Linked DNA regions of Caenorhabditis elegans. The protein of the gene in region 2 interacts with the protein of the main gene of each other region in a biochemical or structural test. Each region holds a gene or a part of one and is shown on either strand. Other genes may lie near its edges.

What was found.
Region 1: of the proteins of sep-1 (region 2) and cpar-1, one has a biochemical effect on the other in vitro, tested with the Caenorhabditis elegans proteins (one study listed by BioGRID).

Annotation. Positions count from the first base shown.
Region 1 is NC_003281.10:9,431,914-9,435,604, reverse strand, and holds cpar-1 (Histone H3-like centromeric protein cpar-1), read right to left. Parts: upstream 1,549-3,691; 5' UTR 1,532-1,548; coding exon 1,440-1,531; intron 1,393-1,439; coding exon 1,245-1,392; intron 1,193-1,244; coding exon 872-1,192; intron 824-871; coding exon 599-823; 3' UTR 505-598; downstream 1-504. UniProt on the Caenorhabditis elegans protein: Histone H3-like variant which exclusively replaces conventional H3 in the nucleosome core of centromeric chromatin at the inner plate of the kinetochore.
Region 2 is NC_003279.8:3,432,536-3,440,506, reverse strand, and holds sep-1 (Separin homolog sep-1), read left to right. Parts: upstream 1-1,963; 5' UTR 1,964-1,973; coding exon 1,974-2,717; intron 2,718-2,767; coding exon 2,768-2,927; intron 2,928-2,984; coding exon 2,985-3,384; intron 3,385-4,116; coding exon 4,117-4,342; intron 4,343-4,391; coding exon 4,392-4,514; intron 4,515-4,565; coding exon 4,566-4,867; intron 4,868-4,917; coding exon 4,918-5,812; intron 5,813-6,166; coding exon 6,167-6,345; intron 6,346-6,395; coding exon 6,396-6,491; intron 6,492-6,543; coding exon 6,544-7,207; 3' UTR 7,208-7,349; downstream 7,350-7,971. Other genes in the region: Y47G6A.13 (non-specific serine/threonine protein kinase), read left to right, coding at 233-322, 374-761, 813-893, 997-1,070; nefr-1 (Protein kinase domain-containing protein), read right to left, coding at 1,163-1,268, 1,328-1,399; neto-1 (CUB domain-containing protein), read right to left, coding at 7,378-7,397, 7,449-7,691. UniProt on the Caenorhabditis elegans protein: Cysteine protease, which plays a central role in homologous chromosome separation during meiosis I and in sister chromatid separation during embryonic mitosis.

The DNA of each region.
Region 1 (3,691 bases), on a different chromosome or scaffold from region 2:
TTATTTCTCCTTTCCAATCTATTGCATTTCTTTTCTTGGCTTTCCCTCTTACAATCTCATTTTGCTTTTTGCGGGCACCTATAAACGTGTTTTTAGTCAAAACTCGTTTCTTCTAGTTTTAGTTTGATGCAAATGTAAGGCTTGAGTTTCAAAGTTTTCAAGTTTTCAATAATTCATCTTTATTTTTTATAATCAGGAAGCTGATATCTTACGAGGGCGTAGAAAAAAACGTCGCTTGAAAACAAGGTGCAAGTAATAATTTAAATTTTAAAAAAATCTGAAAAGTCCTACATTCAAATTGATTGCAAAACTACAACTTTCCAAAAAAATTAAGAATTTTCGCCTAAGATTTACTCATTTTCTAGAACTAAATTCCTTTTTAACAAGAGGTTTCAATTTCAGGGCAATTTATCACTGGGCCAAACAGATTCTGTCAGACATTGTGCAAAGATGCTGCGAAGGAGTCTATCATAAGCTTCGAGCTATTCATACTCGAACAAGTGATTAAATACAATAAATTCATTTTCATGCAATAAATTTTTACAATATAAATAAATAAACAATTTACAGTTAGTGATTAGTATTGCAAATTTTTTAATCAGAGATTTGGAAGGCAAAGACGGCGGTAAAGCTGCACGTCTGTAGTCGTCAGTGTGGCACGTTTGGAATGGGCGGAAATGAGTGATGAACCATCGAACATTTGGACCAACAGTGCTTCCGATGCTTCCTGAAGAGCATTGATGGCGTCAGAACGAATGCGAAGGTCTGAGGAAAATGGAGTGGAAGTCTGCATAATTTCGCGGACGAGGCGTGCGAACGGAGCCTGAAATTTGGAATTGTTTAAATGTGGAATGTAGTAAAAAATATATACCTTTGGAATCAGAAGGTCTTCAGATTCTTGGTATTTGCGAATCTCTTCCAATGCCTTCTGGCCCGGTCTATAACGTCTCGTTTTCGAGATTCTGTTCCTTCCGGCTATCATCCGCACGCGATCGGAGCTCGATGAACCAGCTCTACTTCCATTTCTGCCATTTGTACCATCCGTGTCATTACGATTCCCCACATTTATTGGTGACTGATGGTGACTGTTGGCTGCCGTGATTTCTTCATCGGAGCTATCGTGTCGACGGTGTGAGGGCATATCATGACGGCCGTGGGAGTAATCGACAAGATTAGTTGAATTACTGCCGACCTGAAACAAATATTATGTTGTTTGAAATTTCTCACACAAATTTGAAACTAACCGTAATATCCACAGAAGGAGCTCTTCTTCGAGCTTGCTCTAAGTCGTTGAATCCAACAGCCTCAAGGTCGTTCTTATACTGATCCAGAAGAGCGATAAGGTCAGCGTATCCTGTGGCGCTTGTGTTGAAGCCCGGCACTGAAGTGACTCTGAAACACCATACATTAATTTGTAGCACGAAAACAAAAATAATTACCTTTGTGTGTCATGTTGGAGACGTTGCATGATCCTTGCCACCCTCCCATTCTTCTCGGCAATTTCCTCAATAATTGGTCCGTCATCGGCCATTGTTCGAAGATTATCCTGTTAAAATATAAAATTTAAAAAACTGAAGCTAAATTAAGACAATTTGTTTGAAGGTTAAAAGGAATTAAAGAAGCAATAAAAACGAACGCAGTTTAAATAAGGAACGATTGGCGGCAGGAGAACCATTGAAATACGAAAATGGCAAAACATATTTCCGGTGAAAATAATCTGAGAGTCACAAAATCAGCAAAAATTAGAAAATTCTGGAAGAAAAATCAAATTTTCGCACTTTGAAAAGAAAATGCGCAAGTAACACGAGAGATGCGCCAGCCATTTCCGCTTGCGCGGAAGACGATTATCAAAGTAGGTCTAGAAATAATACTTTTAGCTAAACAGGGAACAGGGCTGTTGCAAAAAATAATTTCCGCCCAAAAAACAAAAAACAAAAAAGCGAATTTTTCAAAAAAACCAAAAAGAAATCAAATTTTGATTTCAAACGGAACAAAACGGAAATTTTTCTTGAAATATTCTGTTGATCTTTCATAAAATAATAAAAATTGAATGAACGGAAGGTTTTTTGTTCTTCTTTGTTTATTTGTTGAATCAGTGTTGTAATTTATTTTTTGGTCTTTTTGGTTCCAGAAAACCGGGGAACATTTTAAAGAGACGAACTGTTGAAACTCACGAGTCGATATATATATATATATAAGTACTTCGGTGAGAGAAAATAATTTTTGTATTTAGACCTCAAACGATATATGAAAATTCAGTTCAATTAGGTTACAAAGACACTTTTGAATTCGAAATTCTATTAATTTAAAGGTTGAAGTTGAGTGTTAAAATGAATGTAGGAGCCCAAGCTGAGTTTGGCATTTTCGCTTTATCAAAAATATAAGAAAAAGGATCATAGTAATTTACCGTATTTCCTATATCAGTCTTGCATGCAAGATTTTATTCATACTGCCCTGTTTTGGTAAATTACCAAAAAGTGCGTGGTACATTCGTTTAACACTTCACTTCAACGTTTAAATGAATAGAATTTCAAAGTCAAAAGTCTCTTGGTAACCTAGTTGAAATAAAATTTCATATTCCTAGGGTTTGGACACATTTTTAATTTTACTTACTATTGAGAAAAGATAGGAGTTTCACTTTGAAAAAAAATCACCAAATTTAGAGCCACCTCTTGTTAAAAAGTAATTTAGTTCTAGGAAATGAGTAAATCTTAGTAAATTAGTAAATGAGCCGTTCGATAGTAAACGAGCGGAAGTGAAAACATTAGTAAATGAGCGTCAAAGTAAATGAGCCACCGTTAGTAAATGAGGATTTGGCTTCTCAAATCTCTTTACCTGTATTAACCGAAAAAAGTAAGTTCATGTTCTGAATAAATTTGTCGCTTGAACAATCTTCTTTTTGACCTCGACAGACTGGAATTCTGGAAACCTGAATTATTACTAAAATTTTACGTTCCTAACCGTGTAGCTTGAAGGCTTATTAGTTCCTCCAACCAATGCTAAAAAGTCAGAAGCCGTATTGTATTCATTGCTGATTCATTTAATTTTCTATTATTAAATGACATTTTGAGTCTTCTCAATCTCCCCTGAAAAGCCAATAATAACACATTTCAAGCGTATTCTTTATTAATTGAAAACTAGATGACCATCGAACAGGTAATGTACGTGCGAAGCTAATCTTGTGGTAGATACTAAATATGATTATGGATAAACCGTTTTTAAACTATACATTTAGATTTAGCAAAAATTTGTTCAAGAAGAAGCACCTCATAGACATTTCCTAATTTGTATATTTACTATGATGCTCATTATGAGATCACTTTTTTTGGAGATTTTTTGCTTTGAGATTGCTTTGACGGAAGTTTGAACGTAGGCGTACTCTGCGTGTCTGCAGAAGATCTGAATTTCCGCTTCGATTCGCCATTTGATGGATCGTATACGGAAAATGTAATCCAAATAGGGTAATAAGACGCTAACTTGCTTTGTAATTATGTCTGGAAAAAATAACTTTGACGAAAAATAATACAACAGTCTGAAATTAAGTTTACATAGCCGCCCGGAATAGTCCTGTTAGATTAAAACATTTTGTGTTAAATTTAGTTACAGTAACCATTGTTTTTGGTTTCTATCAGTGTTTTTTTCGAATTATAATTATAATTTTCTCACCACTTTTCTAATAAGTCACTGTTCA
Region 2 (7,971 bases):
AACGCCACATGGTGTCAGAAAGTCTCTTTGATCTACAAAAAATGCGGGAATTGTTCCCAGAAAAATGTGACGTCAGCAACCCTGCGAAATCAGTTGAGATGTCTGCGTCTCTTCTCCCGCATTTTTCGTAGATCAAAGCAAAATGAGACGTGAAACCCGGAATGAACCATCAAAAATGGTACTCACAAGAAAATGCATTTTTCGGCATTTTGAACATTTTGCACATTTACAGGATCTCCCCGACGAGCTCAAATCAATCTTCGAGTACCTGAGAACTCTGAGCTACGCAGATCGCCCGAACTATGAGAAGATTTATAATCTGGTAGCGTTTTTCTCGAAATAGAATCCGATTAACAATTAAGAAATTTTTCAGCTGATGGCGGCTATCACCAGACTGAAGATCAACTTTCTGGATCCATATGAATGGGAAGACGACGAGATGGAAAGAATGGCAAAAGCTGAGAAAGAGGAAAAAGAGAAGGAAGAGAAGGAGAAAAAGGAAAAGGAAAATAAGGAGAATGAGTTGTCTGCCGATTCGATGAAAACTGCGATTCCAGCAAAGTCAGCGAAAGCCGAGTCGGAAGTTGCTGGAGAGGTTGATGAGCAGAAGAAGGTGAAGGATAACAGTTCCGGTGAACAGCAGCAGGATACGTTGAATGTGGATAAGGGCAACAAGTTGATCAGTGCAAAAGATATGGCTAGCAGTCGTTCGGAGGTTAACGAAAACTCGCAGTATGGGACTCCGGCGAAAGCGGGAAATTGTGAGTGGATTTTTTTCCCGACAGAAATTGACATTTATACTTGCTTTTCAGCTGTTACGGGAGATTCAATCGACATGGAAACTGCCATTGAATGCGATCAAATGGAATACAACTCGAAGAAGGCGTTGCCAAGTGAGAATTTCATGTTTATAACCTCGAAATGGGCTAAAATGAACGAAATTTGTTAATTTGAGCACATTTTGAGTCTGTTCAATCAAAAATCTCTATTTTACAGGAGACGAGCTTCAATTCGTCGTATATCCGGCAATTGCTCCTCGAAACTTCACCGAAGTCAAAATTCCCTTCTGATGCGACTTGAAATCATTCTCCCGAAGAATTCTCACTACTTTAATGACAATAAATGTTTTTTGTGAGGGGAAAAAATTCAGGAAAATGCCTACTTTGTTCGAGTCGAGCTTGCATTCTCTGAATGTGCTTCTTTTTCTCGTTTTGCACTCGTTGAAGTTCCTCCTTTATTCGTTCGATTTCTTCCTCGTCGAGAAAACTCTGGAAAAAAGTTGTTGGTTTTTTTTTCTAAATTCATTTTTTGGATCGTTATTAAGAACCTCGTCGGCTTCTCTCGATTCCATTCGCTTAAACGAGTGTCTCTTTGTCGGCGCTTGCTTGATACGCGGCATGTCGACTGAAAAAATGTAAATAATTCAATAAACAAGAAAAGTTTTAAACAAAAATTAAACGAATTTTGGGGCTCAAACTTTGAAAAGTAGAATTTACCGCACTGTCGTAAAGTTTGGTGTTTTGTACGCAGTTGCACCGCACGCGCATTCACGGACTTCAAAATCGGAGGGAAATTTTTTATTTTTGCCTCGAAAATCGTTTCATTTTCAATTTTCCTCGATTTCCGGTGAAAATCAATAAAAAAACTTGCTTCAACTTGCTAAAACTTGCAAAAAAACTTATTTTAATTCAAGATCTGGTGGAATTCCGGATCTGGCACCGTGCCAACTCTTATAAGAGATTTTTAAGAAAAAGTGACAACGTTGCTCCAATGTTACGCGTCGCGTATGTGAAGCGTATCATCTAGAAGAAAATTTTTTAAATTTTTTAGAAGATAACGTGCGTTGAAACCCTTTCATTTTCAATTTTTCCTCGATTTTTAATGAAAATCAATCAAAAAACTTGCTTTTTATGTATGTAATAATGTTAATTCCATTAAAACAGTTTAATTTTAATTTTTCTAGATAAACTTTCATGAAGATCACAAACAAGTCAGTTGACAAGCAGCACATCGAAAAACTAGATGAGCTACGCAAAAATGTGAGCTGCACGGTGATCGGGTTTGCCGAACAAACTGCCGAGTTGCAACAGGAGATTTCCGAGCTTTTTATCGCCGAATTCGGCGTCAATGGACCGATTGACATGAACTCGCTGAGCAAATTGGCTCGAATCACCTCATACTACGCCTCGTCCGAATACTTTCAAGGACTTGCGAAGTATCAACGAACCGCATGCAAAATGTTCATCACGTGGCAAACTCTACGAAAGGAGGCGATGGAGTGTCGGAGCAAAGATCGAGAGATTTTCGCGAGTATTCCCGCGAAACTCTGCTTTTTCTACTTTTACAACGGAGAACTGTGCAGAGCAGTCGTGTGCCTGCTCGACTACATCGACCTATCAGACGACACTCTGGCCAAGGAAGCTGCTCTTCGATGGTTGATGTTTCTCGGCGAGACCGAGCTAATTGAGAAGAAGCTGAAGACGTGGAAAATGGATAAAAGCTCGAAAGACATGTTCTCGGCTACCGAATTCGCGATGAACTACCTGAAAAAGTCAGAGTATCGCGTGGAAATGCTCGAAAAGCTGATGAAGCTTCGCGATAAAGTCAAATCGGATCCTACTCGCTCATTTTCGAGATACGAGTTGGCTTCTTATGTCTCTTGGTTGTGCTCAACGTTGAGCAATGTTCCCGTTGGATCCGCACTCAGGGAGTGTGAGGTATGAAGCGATGGTTTTGTGTTCTAAAATATATTTTATAATTATTTCAGTTCCCGGATCGTGTGTCCCATATTCAAGAAGCAGCATTAAAAAGTGATTCACTTGTGCGTAATCGAATTCCTGGCCTCGCCAGCTCTCAATTCGACAACTCGGTTAATGCATCAATTTGGCCATTTCTAGACGGGCATCAAGAAGATAGCAATTATTATGGTATAAATTGTTGAAAAAAAAAATATATAATTTCAAACACAATTTCTACATTTTCAGTGCACATTGGCAGTACAATCGCTTGGCACTTTGAGATGCGTCGGGAGTGTGCTCTCGTCAACGTCACCACCGCCCAAACTCGTGATTCGATGTCGGCAATGATTCTGAATCTTCGTGTCGCATTAAAATCGGCTTCATTCTTTCGAGTTCTTCAGACAACCAACACATTAGCCTACTATTCGAGTATCATCGAAGAAGCCGGAAGTGAGAAGAACGCGAAATTAATGAGAGTATCGTGTGTTAATTTGCTGTCGTCTAATCCGATAATTGTTCGGTGTAGCACTCCGAAGGAGACGGGAGCCACTTCGAGAGCTCATACACCGATGGCAGGGAGTAGTGTATCGGAGAAACAGAACACGATGAGACCTGATCTGGCTGATCTGTTGGGAGATCTCGAATTGTGAGAATTGGATTGCTGGAATATTTAGATTCAGAATAGAATTTGACCCTACAGAGACGGCGCGCAAGAAAAAATAGGCTTAACTGTTTTCCACATTCTTAAAAATAACGTATCAATTTCCCCTCGATTTTATCGAGCTGAATCACGCGCTTCAGGCTTCCCCAAATTTTTAAATGTAAGAATTTTCCGAATTAAGCCATTTGGACTCGGCCCCGGCCGGGGTAGATTTACGGCGCTTTGCGTGTCGCGTCGCGGCTCAATTGAATTAGAATCAAGGGTGCCATTTTTCGATACTTTTCAGTGAAAATCGAAAAATCGAAAAACGAAAATTTTCGATTTTTCGATTCCCTGGAAAATCGAAAAATCGCAAAAATATGTTCAGAAAATTAACCATAAAATACCTATGATTTTTTTTGCATATATTTATTAGAAAAAAAACATACAAGTTTCTTCTAAAAAGAAGAATAATAGCCAAAATATAAAGCTAATTTTTGAAAAATCAAAAAATCGAAAAATTTTCGTTTTTCGATTTTCTGAAAAAATCGAAAAATTTTCGTTTTTCGATTTTCTGAAAAAATCGAAAAACCGACACCCTTCATTAGAATGACCTGAATTGCTTAAAAGTGTTGAAAAAGCCGCTTTTCTAAAAATCAAATTCTACCGAGCGATTTTTCTGAGACATCACACGAAAGCCGCTCCCATAATATAAAATTATTCAATTAACTCTTCCAGACTCGATGAACAATCATTCCATCCGATCACCCGATCCTGCGTCTGCAATGTCTGCACGATTTACCCGCTGCATAGCTCATTCGCCGCCGAATACATGATGTCCTACGCAATTCACTCGGATTTCTCGCAACTCTCCATCAAACATTTCAACGACGAGTTCGCGAGAATCAGAGAGCGTGGAATGTCTAGTCAGGTTCTGATGCATCGGGACTCGAGTGTGAGGCCGGTGGGTTGCTCTGGAAATTCAAAAACAATAAAATACAAACTTATTGCAGAGACCGAATATCATTCAAAACGAGATTTTCGGCATGTGTGTGATCCGGTGGCTGACGAAAAAGTTGGATTCGAAAGAAAGTGCTGACGAGGATACGATGGAGATTTTCAACAACGCGTTGAAGGTATAAAATATTTGATTTGGAAAATGGGAAAATCGAAATTTCATCTTTCAGATCGTGAGATATCTTCAACAACGAACAACCGATATGATTCTCGCAGTGACACAACTTGGACGACAACTCGAGTTTCCCATGGAATGCAACTATAGCTGGATGCGGCCAACGATCCGGAAACCACGTGTCAAGGCAACGATCGATTGTGCCGTCGACATTCTTCGCGCGGTTTCTCCGTTCGGACGTCGTCCGAAAGTTGAGAAACTGGAGAAGAATCTTCAGCCTTTCGATAAGGAACGCTTCGAGAAGGTTCGGCTTGCCATGCGGAACGAGATGAACCACTACGGCCATATTCTATACAGGTTTGAAATTTAGAATTAAAAAATGAATATATATTTCAAAAATTTTCCAGAGAATGGCGTTGCCGCTTGTTCGCCTACGTCGGAAGAACATCACGTGATCCTTGGGAGGCTGCGTACGCATGGGCCGAGTCAACACAGATCGGAGCTCGTAACGCTGTACAGAGCCGACTTGAGAAGTGCAAGAGAGGATTGGTGACAATGTCGGGACATGATCGCTTCAAAACGTGTGTACAGTCGATGCCAGACGAGATGACGCTTGTACAGATTGCGATGGCCGATGATAAGACGATTTATTTGGTGAAACTGCACGCGGATCGTGATCCGATCATCATGCCACTGGCACACTACTCTCAAGCCGTCGAATTGATGGATAAATTCACGTTTTTGTTGGATGAAGACGAGATGATAGCAAAGTATCCCGGAGACATTACACCAGAAGAGTTTTGGAAACGACGGAAAATTGTGGATGGTAGAATGATGACGTTTGTTGACGAGGTTCAGAAGCATTTCCTAGGTGTTGCGGCGAGTCTTCTGATGCCGTCTGGACAGTTGGGCCCGAAAGCGGCAGAACTTGCAATTAAAATCCACAAGTTGTCGAAAGGAGGACTCCTTCTGGGAGAGGCCAAGGAGATGGTATATCAGTCAAAGTTGATGGATGCGAAATCCTGGGAAGCGCTGATTCTTCGATTCTGTGAGATGAGAACTACCGATGAGAAGTTCAAATCGTTCCTGCCGCTGATGCACAGGAATTCGGTTGAAGTAATGAATCAGGATGATTCGATTGTTACGGAAAAGAAGTACACGTACCTTGTCATCTGTCCCCATCTTTCTCAATTCTGTTGGGAGCGATTGCCGATTTTCGATGAGTATCCATATGTGGGACGTCAAGTATCGATTCACTCGACTTTTAGTCAGTTGGAAGCAATGAAAAGTCAGGAGAAACAGGTATGATCTTGAATGGAAAATATTACCAGAATACACAAAAATTCTGAAAATGCGTATTTCGCAACCTATTTGATGCGCAAAATATCTCGTAGGGAAAGCTACAGTAATTCTTTAAATGATTACTGTAGCGCTTGTGTCGATTTGTTTTCTAGATTTTTGGTTTCGAAAATAAATTCATTTCAAAAATCGAGATCCCGTAAATCGACACAAGCGCTACAGTAGCCATTCGAAGAGTTACTGTAGTTTTCCCTACGAGATATTTTGCGCATCAACAATGCTGCGCAATACGCATTACCAGCTGAAATACTTTCCATATAAGTTTTTATTGAAAAAAAAATTATTTCTTAACTTCAGATTCCTCTACAAATCGACGTACAAAACGCCTACTACATTCTCGATCCTGACAACAATTTGGGCGAAACACAAAAACGAATGGTCGAATATATCAATAAGTTCAATTGGGAAGGAACTGTTGGCTCGGCGCCAAAATCGAATGAGATTAGCGCCGCGTTGTCTCAACGCGATGCGTTTTTGTAAGTTCTGAGATTGAGCTGGATTGAATATCAACAAAAAAAATTTCCAGCTTTATTGGACATGGCTCTGGATCTTCGGTTATGCCACGATCTGTGCTCAAGCAGTCGACGTGTAATGCGATCAGTTTGCTGATGGGTTGTGGAAGGTTAATATAATTTATTTTGATTGATTTTCAACTAATTTTGCCTTTATTTTAGTGTCCGAACAATTCCACAAGCTCTCGGTTTTGATGGAAAAACGGCGATTCTGGACTACGCGATGGCAAAGTGTCCACTGATCGTTGGATGCTTATGGACTGTCACTGATGGTGAAATCGATCGTTTCTTGATTCGAATGATCGATGATTGTTTCGAAGATTCCAAATCGCTCACCGGAATCGACAAGCTTCGTCAGCTATCGGAGGCTATGCACGAGGCCAGATCAAAAGCCAGACTGAAATATTTGACCGGTGCCGCTGTGGTGATGTATGGATTGCCAGTTGTTGCAAAGCAAACGACGCCATTCGTGGAAAAGGATCAGAGAAACTTGCCGCAGACTCCGAAGACTTCAGCCCGAACTTCGATGCGAATGGAAACTGTGCCGAAGACACCGAAACAAGAATTTGTTACATCGAAGTCTGTTCCAATGACTCCAATTTTCTCAAATAATGAGAACAAGTCTCCAAGCCGAGCAAGGATGCCAAGCAGAGTTCTGAAGACACCTCGTCAGGTGAAAACGTTCCAAGAGGAAGATGATGAAGCTCCGAAACGGTCGACAACGCGGCAGCTGAAACCGCTGGTTGCACCACCTATTCCAGCAACACCGACGACTAGAACAACTCGCTCAAGTGCCCGAACTCCATCAAGATCCCGAAATTTGTAATATAATCTGACCCGAAGGATCTTAAGGATCGTTATTTTATTTTGCACAGGTGCTTATCTCCCGGGTTTCTTATTGTATTCTTTGACACTACTAGTCAACTAAGTTTTATTATTATCGTGTAAAATAAATGATTGAATGATTTATTCATTTTGGACCAGCTTTCAGTGACATCAGAGGATCGGAGGAAGAGCTGGAAATATGGCACTTTAAATTGAGAAAAGCCATCCGCGGGGCCACCTACCACAATTATTTTTGCGTATAGTGTAGAAACAAATGAGTGAGACCACAATGAGCACAATAAGAATAATCGAAACAAGCGGAGCAAATCCGCTTGCCAAAAAGCTGAAAATCGTGTCCTGACCGACGGAGCAGACACGTTCGTCACGTCCGTACGGGCAATTGGGCCGCCCGTTACACGCCAACGATTTTGGGACACAATTCTCGTCTCCACACGCGAAAAGACCTTCTTGGGTGCAATTTTTCACTGAAAATTTGAATTTGAGCTGATCTTAAGCGCAATTTTTATTACGCTCGATATGCAAACGCGCTTCACGGCCACAGTTGGGTCTCGTTAGGTATTTATTATTATTATTCAAACGTTTTCAATTAGTTTCAAGCAATTTTCGTCTTTTTTGTTATGTTTTCCATTGTATTTGAAGATTTTTAGGTCGAAAAATATTATTTTTGAATAAATATTTTTAAATCAATTTCGGCTTAAAAATCATAAAAAACTGCAGAAAATCTGACAAACGTGCCCAAAAATG